Pelodiscus sinensis: one gene and its partner. The protein of the gene in region 1 interacts with the protein of each later gene in a biochemical or structural test. Links are inferred from orthologs where the notes say so. Each region holds a gene or a part of one and is shown in the gene's direction. Other genes may lie near its edges.

Region 1 (3,744 bases):
GATCTGAAGTGATTCCCCAAAGCTCAGTGGACTAGGGACCCTGGGTTGGGTCAGACTGGAGCGAAACTGGAGCGATTCCACTGAGCTCACCCGGTTGGGGCCCTATATTAGGACACAGAGTGAATCTGGAGCGATTCCACTGAGCTCACCCGGTTGGGGCCCTATATTAGGACACAGAGTGAATCTGGAGCAATTCCACTGAGCTCAGTGGCGCGGGACCCTGTATTGGGTCAAACTGGAGTGACTCCAGAGTGACTCCTGAGCTCAGAGAGCAGGCCCTTCACTGGGTCAGTGCAGAGTGACTCTAAAGTTATTCCAATGAAGCGTGGGGTGGAACCTGCTCTGGGTCAATCCAGAGTGAATCCAGAGTGACTCCACATAGCTAAACAGTGTCCTTTGGGTCACTCCAGATTCACTCATAATTTGCCCCCACCCCACTTTGAGGGAAGTGATAAACCTCAGGGATTTTTTTTTGGGGGGGGGGGGAATGGATTCCCTCCCCCCCCATTCCTATGCCCTCTGTGGGCAGGCAGGAGCTGGGCAGCGGGAATTTAGGATGAAGTAATTGGCTTCAACTCCTGTCAGTCATTGAGTCGGTCCTGAGGTAATTCATGATCTGATTGGTTCTCTTTCCTGTCCGTCACAACCTACATCCCGCCTCCTCCTGGAAGGTAGGAAACCTGCCGGGTCCGCTCCATGCTAATCAAAAAAATTCCCACCCCCGGGGGAAGATTCGATGGCTGATTGGCCTCGAGACACGTCAATCACTGGCTGTTGCCTTCGGCATGCGGGAGGCGGAGCCTTATTAACCGACCGTTCTGAGGCGCCTTCCACGCTCTACTCAGGCAGGCCTGCCTCGCCTAAAGCGGATTCGCCCTCACCTCCTGTCAGTCTCTACGTATTCTGCGGCCTCCCGGCAACCGGGGGAGCGGATTGGCTCTCTGTCTTGTCATTCCTCACTCCTCCCTCCTCCCCCACCACCTCCCTGCCTAAGCCCCGCGATTGGCATCAACTTCAATCGATCGTTCTTTCTCCAGCCCTACGCCGAACGTAGGGAGACGCTCTCCCCGGATTGGCCGGCCGGCCCGACTTTCCCCTTGCTAAGCCCGCCCTCGTGGGCTATTTCAGCTCCGATTGGCCGTCGCTCTCTCCCTGTAGGAGGAGCGACGCCAAAGCAGGCAGGCGGGTTTTCTGCTTTTCTCTCCCCGCCTCCCTCCCCTCTCTCTCTCTGTCTCGCGCGGCGTGCGTGTGCGCGCGCAGCTCCCCTTGTCTCCTAGGCTTTGTGCAGCGGGGCCGTGAACGTTCCATCGCCGTTAGCGGCGCGCGCGCGGCCCTCGCGGCGAACGTCCCTCCGACTTGGCGGCGCGAGCGCGTGCGGGCGCCCCTCCCCCCTCCGGCGACCGTTGCGCTAGCCTCGCGGCGACCCTCCCCCCCCCCGCTTCGCCGGCAGACGCGGGAAAGGAGGAGGAAGGGGGGCGGCCGCCATGTCGGGCTCGGCGGCCTCGGCCGAGGCGGGCGGCCCCGGCGGGGAGAAGCGGCCGGAGGCGATGGAGCTGCTGGAGAAGTGCGGCGTGTGCCGCGAGCGGCTGCGGGCCGAGCGGGAGCCCCGCCTGCTGCCCTGCCTCCACTCGGTCTGCCGGGAGTGCCTGCGGGCCGAGCCGCCCGCCGACGGGGAGGCCGCCAACAATAAAGAGGGACAAGGTGAGCGCGCGGGAGGTCAAGTGGGGGGGGGGTCTTGCGCATTGTGGGGGCAGAGAAGGGCTGTGGGGGGGGAGGGGGGAAGGGCACTGGGGGGGCCGTGTGCATTATGGGGGGGAGGGGGGAAGGGCACGGGGGAGCGTGTGCATTGTGGGGGGGAGGGGGGAAGGGCACGGGGGGGCGTGTGGCACGGGGGGGGCGTGTGCATTGTGGGGGGAGGGGGGAAGGGCACGGGGGGGCCGTGTGCATTGTGGGGGGGAGGGGGGAAGGGCACGGGGGGGCCGTGTGCATTATGGGGGGAAGGGCACGGGGGGGGCCGTGTGCATTGAGGGGGGAGGGGGGAAGGGCATGGGGGGGGCCCGTGTGCATTGAGGGGGGAGGGGGGAAGGGCATGGGGGGGCCGTGTGCATTGTGGGGGGGAGGGGGGAAGGGCATGGGGGGGAGGGAGGAAGCACACGGGGGGGGCCGTGTGCATTGTGGGGGGGGAGGGGGAAGGGGACGGGGGGGAAGGGCAGGGGTGACCATCTCCCTCCTGCAAGGGAGGGAGGGGGTGTGCATTAGGTGTAAGGCCTCCACAAGGCGGTGTCCCTTCTGTAGTAGGTGGGATTAGGAATGGAGGGTGTGGGTTGAGGGCAGGAGAGCTGTGTAGTGGGCGTGACACTTCTTCCCCTGGAGTGAGATGGGTGGGGGAGGAGGTCCTTCCAGGGGGGCCCTGCCTGCCATAACCGTACCTAGGCACTTCCCTAGGACAATGTCTTCCCCCAAACCACTGCTTCAACAGACCTCCCTGAATGTCTGCCTCACCCCCTAGCAAGTCCTTCACTATCTCCAGGGTCCCATTCATGCCTCCTCAGTCTCCTATAGCAGCACACTCCTCCCTAAGTGCATCAGAGGAGTGCTCCCAAACTTCCTTCCCTGACTTGCTCTGTCCCCCTTAGTGCCCTGAATTAGTGGTCCTGTCTACCAGATCACTGTGTCCCCAGATTGGTTCTTAGTCTGCCACTCCTACCCCACCCCATGTGCTACTTGCACTAGCTTCCCTAGCACTATTCTCCTCAACCCATGCATCCATACCTGTCTGTTACACTACTAACCCAGTGCTTACAGGATTCTGACTAGATAATGGGGCAAGGACTTGGAGGAAATTCCTATATGTTAGTGAATACTTTTTGGCACAGGAAGCCTCAGGTAAGTGCTGGGTGAAAAGAGTAGCACTCCAGAGGGTTTCACACTTGTCTGCTCTTGGTAGGGAGCAGGGTTTCCATGAAGGAGGGAGACCTTTCCAAAATGCTCAAATGATTTAGATGCTCAAATGCTGTAGGTTTTCAGGCCTAATCTACACTGGGAAGAGTTGACTGGTCTTGTTTCACAGTAGGACTTCCATTATGAGGGAATGGAGATGTTCTGAGCATTTTGATGGTTCTTTCAAAAGTTTACAGGTGAACATTAAGTAAATATAACTTTGAAACTTAGGTATGCAGAAGAGATGCTGCTTTTTAGCCATGTCCGTTTAAATGAAGCAAGGATGAACAGTTTCCATACCTTGTCATAACTTTTAAAATGTTACTTTTTTAGTTCACATTTAACACATACAGTAGTTTATTTTGGTTTGTCTGCTGCTGCCTGATTGCATACTTCTGTTCCAGGAGAGGGGTGTGGTTGACCAGTCAATTTGTAACAGTTATATATAATTCTTAGAGGTTCTACTCTATTGGCAAACTCTCCTAAATACAGATGCACCTCATACCAGTTAACTATAGTTGCATCATATGATTTCCCAGTACAGAAATCATACCCTCAGCCAACATTACTATTCCAGTAAAGGTTTCTAGTGTGGACCTGGCCTCAGTGGGATTAAACTGATGAACTGCCAATCCAGTTCTGTTCCTCTAAGGGACTACCTGTAAAAGTGGGAGAGGTGATTCAGATCTGATTTAGGCACTTGTTTTGTATGAGGATAACATGGAGATGGTGATGATTATTTTAAAGAACACTGATGCAGTTTCCTCATTTGTGTACAGTTATACCAGTATAATGGTGCCTTAT
Region 2 (3,744 bases), on another chromosome or scaffold:
CCACTTCGGCAGTTTCCGGAAAGAGCCGAAACAGGCTTCCTCGACTACGAAGGTCTCTTCGGTAGTTTCCGACAAAGAAGCGGGAAAGCCTCTCGCGTCCGAATAGAGCCGAAGCTCCCGCTTCGGGTTTTTCCGGAAATTGCCGGAGCCGCCCGGAGACCGATCCCAACAGCAGCAAAAGGACTATAATTAGCCAAAGGGGCCCCCTTTCTCCACCTGTGGTGCTGGCAGAGCGTGGGCAAGGGCCACGGGGCCAAACCCGGAGCGCGAGGAGTGCGCGGCCCTGAGACCCCCTTTGTTGGCGGGGCGGCCCCTTTGCCTCCGGACGCCTGGGAGGAAGTGGCCCGATTTGGCGCCAGCAGCGAGACGCCGCCTGCCAGGCCCGCGAGCGAGGCGGACCCCGCCGTAGCCAGCTTCGCGCACAGCGGCCCCGCAGCCCAGGGTGAGTGGCGGCCCCAGTTCGCCGGGGAAATGGCGCTTCGGCAGCTCCCCTCCCCCCGCCGAGCTCAGTGGGGAAATGGCCGCGGTCTCCCACCACCCGTCTTCGAGGAAGTGGCCGCATGGTCGCTGGGCCCCGGCCCCCAAGCCCCTCTAATGCTCCCCCCCCCCCGGCCTCCGCTCGCTCCCCCGAAGTTCCCCTTCGTAGCCCACCAGCCCCTCAGCCGATGCGGGAGCTCTCCGCGGCCAGCTCGGCCTCTAGGCCCGTCCCGGGGCCGCGCCCAGGCAGGGCTGGCCGTTGGCCCGGCGGCTATGGCGCGCTCCGCTGGGCCCCGGCACTCACCCAGTCGCTCTCTCGGTCTCCGCGAGGCATCTTGCTTCGCCCAGGCGCTCGACGAGCTCGCGTCCCCGTGTTTCAAGCCGCTCTCTGGGAGAGAAGCCTTGGCTGGCCCCCCTCTCGCTCGCGCCTGCACTGGTAGCGACACGGCAGCAGCAGTGGCGGCGGCAGGAGGCTGCAGCTAACGTGTAGGCGGCGTTGTGCGCGGTGCCCCGCCGCCAGCCACCGCGCAGCTCAGCGCTCCCACCCCGCAGCAGCCGCCCCAGCCTCTGCCCCCACCCCCTCAGATGTCGCTGCTGCTCAGTGCGCGCAGGGAGCAAGGAGGAGACGGGAAACCCGAGTCGCCGCCACCGCCAGGCACCATTGAAGTCTGTATCCTTCTCTCTCTTCTCGTTTCCCATTTAATCTCGCCAGGAATTGGGTAGCGCCCAAAATTCCTTGCAGCTGGGCTCGTGTTGGGTGTAATTGCGGAGCTCCCCTCCCCCTCCCCTCGCTGCCCGCCTTTACCTGAAGGGTGGCTACTGAAGGCGGGTAGCGGCGGTGCGGGGGAAGAGGGAGCTGAGCTCCGGGATCTCTAGTGGGTGCTTTGCCCCCATAGGTAGGAGGAAGGCTCTGGGCCCTAACAGGGAGGGGAGCGCAGCGCTTAGACGCTGGGTGCAGCCTGGGGAGAGGCGGAGGGGGGTGCGTTCAGGGGACAAAGCGACGCCGCCAGCCCCGAGGGCGGTTTTTCCACTGTCCGCCCAGCTTATTCTTGGAGCGCAATGGTCGTGTTCGGTGAGGGGGCAACGTGGCGCCGGGAAGGGGCCCTCGTCCTTTTTTGAGAGCGGGTGTGTGAAATGGTGGAGTGTAGGTTTAGGCAACACGCATGACTCGCCGGCTGTTCCCTCCGCCGACTAGAGGCAGGGGCGCAGGGTTTCCTCCTCTGCGTTGGCGTGCAGGTTGGCCCTACTCCTTGCTCAGCTAGTCCCGTTAGGTCACCCGGGCCTCGTATGCGCCCATCACAGGCCTGTGGCGCAGCCATACCCTTCATTCCTGTGCTATGGGCCTTTGTTTCCCTCCTCTTCTCCCCCTCCCCCCTCCAATCGCAATGAATCCTAGATGAAGTGCCCAGCAGCAGGGCCCAAGCCTCTGCCTGTCCTTCGCTGGACTTCTTGGCTACAGTACCACCTCTCGGGCTGCAAGGGGGTGAGAATTGGGCAGGATCGCTGAGTCAAAGCCCTCCTCTGACTTCCATATAGGCTTTTTTTTGCCTTGATCATTTTGTGATTTGCAGGGATGGGTGACTAAATGTATGCCCAAAGAGGTGGTTAGTGTAAGCAACTGCATGGGAAAGAGGATGAGTTTTCTTCAGACCATGTGGTTTTTATGTAATTTATATAGGTTAATTCAATGTATATTTCTTAATTAAGCATTTTAGTCTTCGCATACAGTGTACACAGTTTTGCAGTTTGTATCTGTATTAGCCTTAACTCTTGCCTTCTGATCCATACATTTGCAACATTATAGTTTTAATATTCTGCAGTTTATATTTCCTGCTGTGTCAGGATTACTGGTAACTCACTAGTGAATTATGCTACAGATACTTTGTTGCTAACTAAAATTTCACTTTTGCATCTTGAAAATGCTGTTAAATATCTTAGTTAATTGCTTGAAACTGAACACTTTTCCTTCTTGGGTTTAAGGAAATGGTTCTCCCCACCTCTCTCTGAAACATCTCTGCCTTATGCTGGTAGGACTTTCTTGCAACCTATCATACACAATCAATAGCTAGGATCATGACTAGCATTATGGTGTGTTTGTGCATTCTGCTGGACAAAGCAGTAATCTTTTCTGGATTTAATCCACACTTGACATGTTATGTGCAGTGAACACATGGGGGTTGGAACAAGGACCATGCTTGTATGGGGATGCCTTTTTCTGAGTAACTTAAATTTCCTTTTAATTGTCATGCATTTTTCTAGTAAAGCTCTGCAAGTCTGCAATAAAAATGGCCTCCAATAAAACTACATTGGTAAGTTCATGAGCACCTAAAATATATAAGGATTTTTCTTCAAAATTATAACTTGGCATCTCCATGTAGAAGATACATCCACATCTCTCCTCCCCAGCATTATTCTGACTAAAATCTCAGATCCAGAAACTAAGGCTAATAGAAAGGACATTAACTTTGGCTTAAATAAAACTGCTGTTTTCCAGTGAAAGACTTACAAACAAAACAAAATCCCTTCTCTTTTTAATGGAGGCCTGTGCTCCAGTTCAGCTCTCTGACTTTCAGTGAAAATTACGTTTAATAACCTTTTACAGAAAACACTTGTGATTTTTTAGCCTCCTTTCAGCACCCCATGTAATTCATTGTATATTTAAAAGGGGGGGGGGAAGCATATTCGTTTTAACTTCTCCCTAGCTCCTCAGCTACAACTACGAGTGCAATTACCTAATACTAATATGATGGGGCATAGTGTGGATTGTGGTTAGAGCTGTTAGTAAATAACGATTCAATTGGATTTCATAGGAGCAGAGATTGTTTCCCCTATCTGGACCATTGTAACAGGACTTTGACATGTATCAAGTTCCTATGAAAATTCTTGATGTTAAATTGAGCCCAAAAAACTCTGAAGTTGAAGACACATAAATGCCACAGTAGTTGGCTTAGTATTCATTTAGCTGTGGCAGTACATGTTTGTAAAGGACAACAGTGTGGAAGTCTGTGCTCTATTTACCTAGTAGAAAAATAATAGGCAAATAGTACTTACTGACTAGTATAGCTAGTTTATCCCACATCCACACAAATACTAGTATCCTGTCTCCTGTCCGTTAATTGCCTAGTTATTTTTCACTGGACTGCAACTATATAACCCAGGGCTACTCAACTTTAGAAGACCCTGGGAGCCACAATGATACTCACAGAACATGCCAAGGGCTGCAATAAGTGTGGTTGCATATACATACAAATATATATGCAAATAGTT

The links. The genes of interacting proteins can lie anywhere in the genome.
Region 2: the proteins of TRIM28 (region 1) and CBX3 form a complex in vitro, tested with the Homo sapiens proteins (2 studies listed by BioGRID). The link is inferred for Pelodiscus sinensis from reciprocal best matches to the Homo sapiens genes TRIM28 and CBX3.

What each region holds. Positions count from the first base shown.
Region 1 is NW_027465849.1:2,732,987-2,736,730, reverse strand, and holds the start of TRIM28 (transcription intermediary factor 1-beta), read left to right. Parts: upstream 1-1,171; 5' UTR 1,172-1,484; coding exon 1,485-1,701; intron 1,702-3,744. UniProt on the Homo sapiens protein: Nuclear corepressor for KRAB domain-containing zinc finger proteins (KRAB-ZFPs).
Region 2 is NC_134712.1:197,287,640-197,291,383, reverse strand, and holds the start of CBX3 (chromobox protein homolog 3), read left to right. Parts: upstream 1-1,062; coding exon 1,063-1,143; intron 1,144-1,202; exon of another isoform or gene 1,203-1,373; intron 1,374-2,736; exon of another isoform or gene 2,737-2,762; coding exon of another isoform or gene 2,763-2,786; intron 2,787-3,744.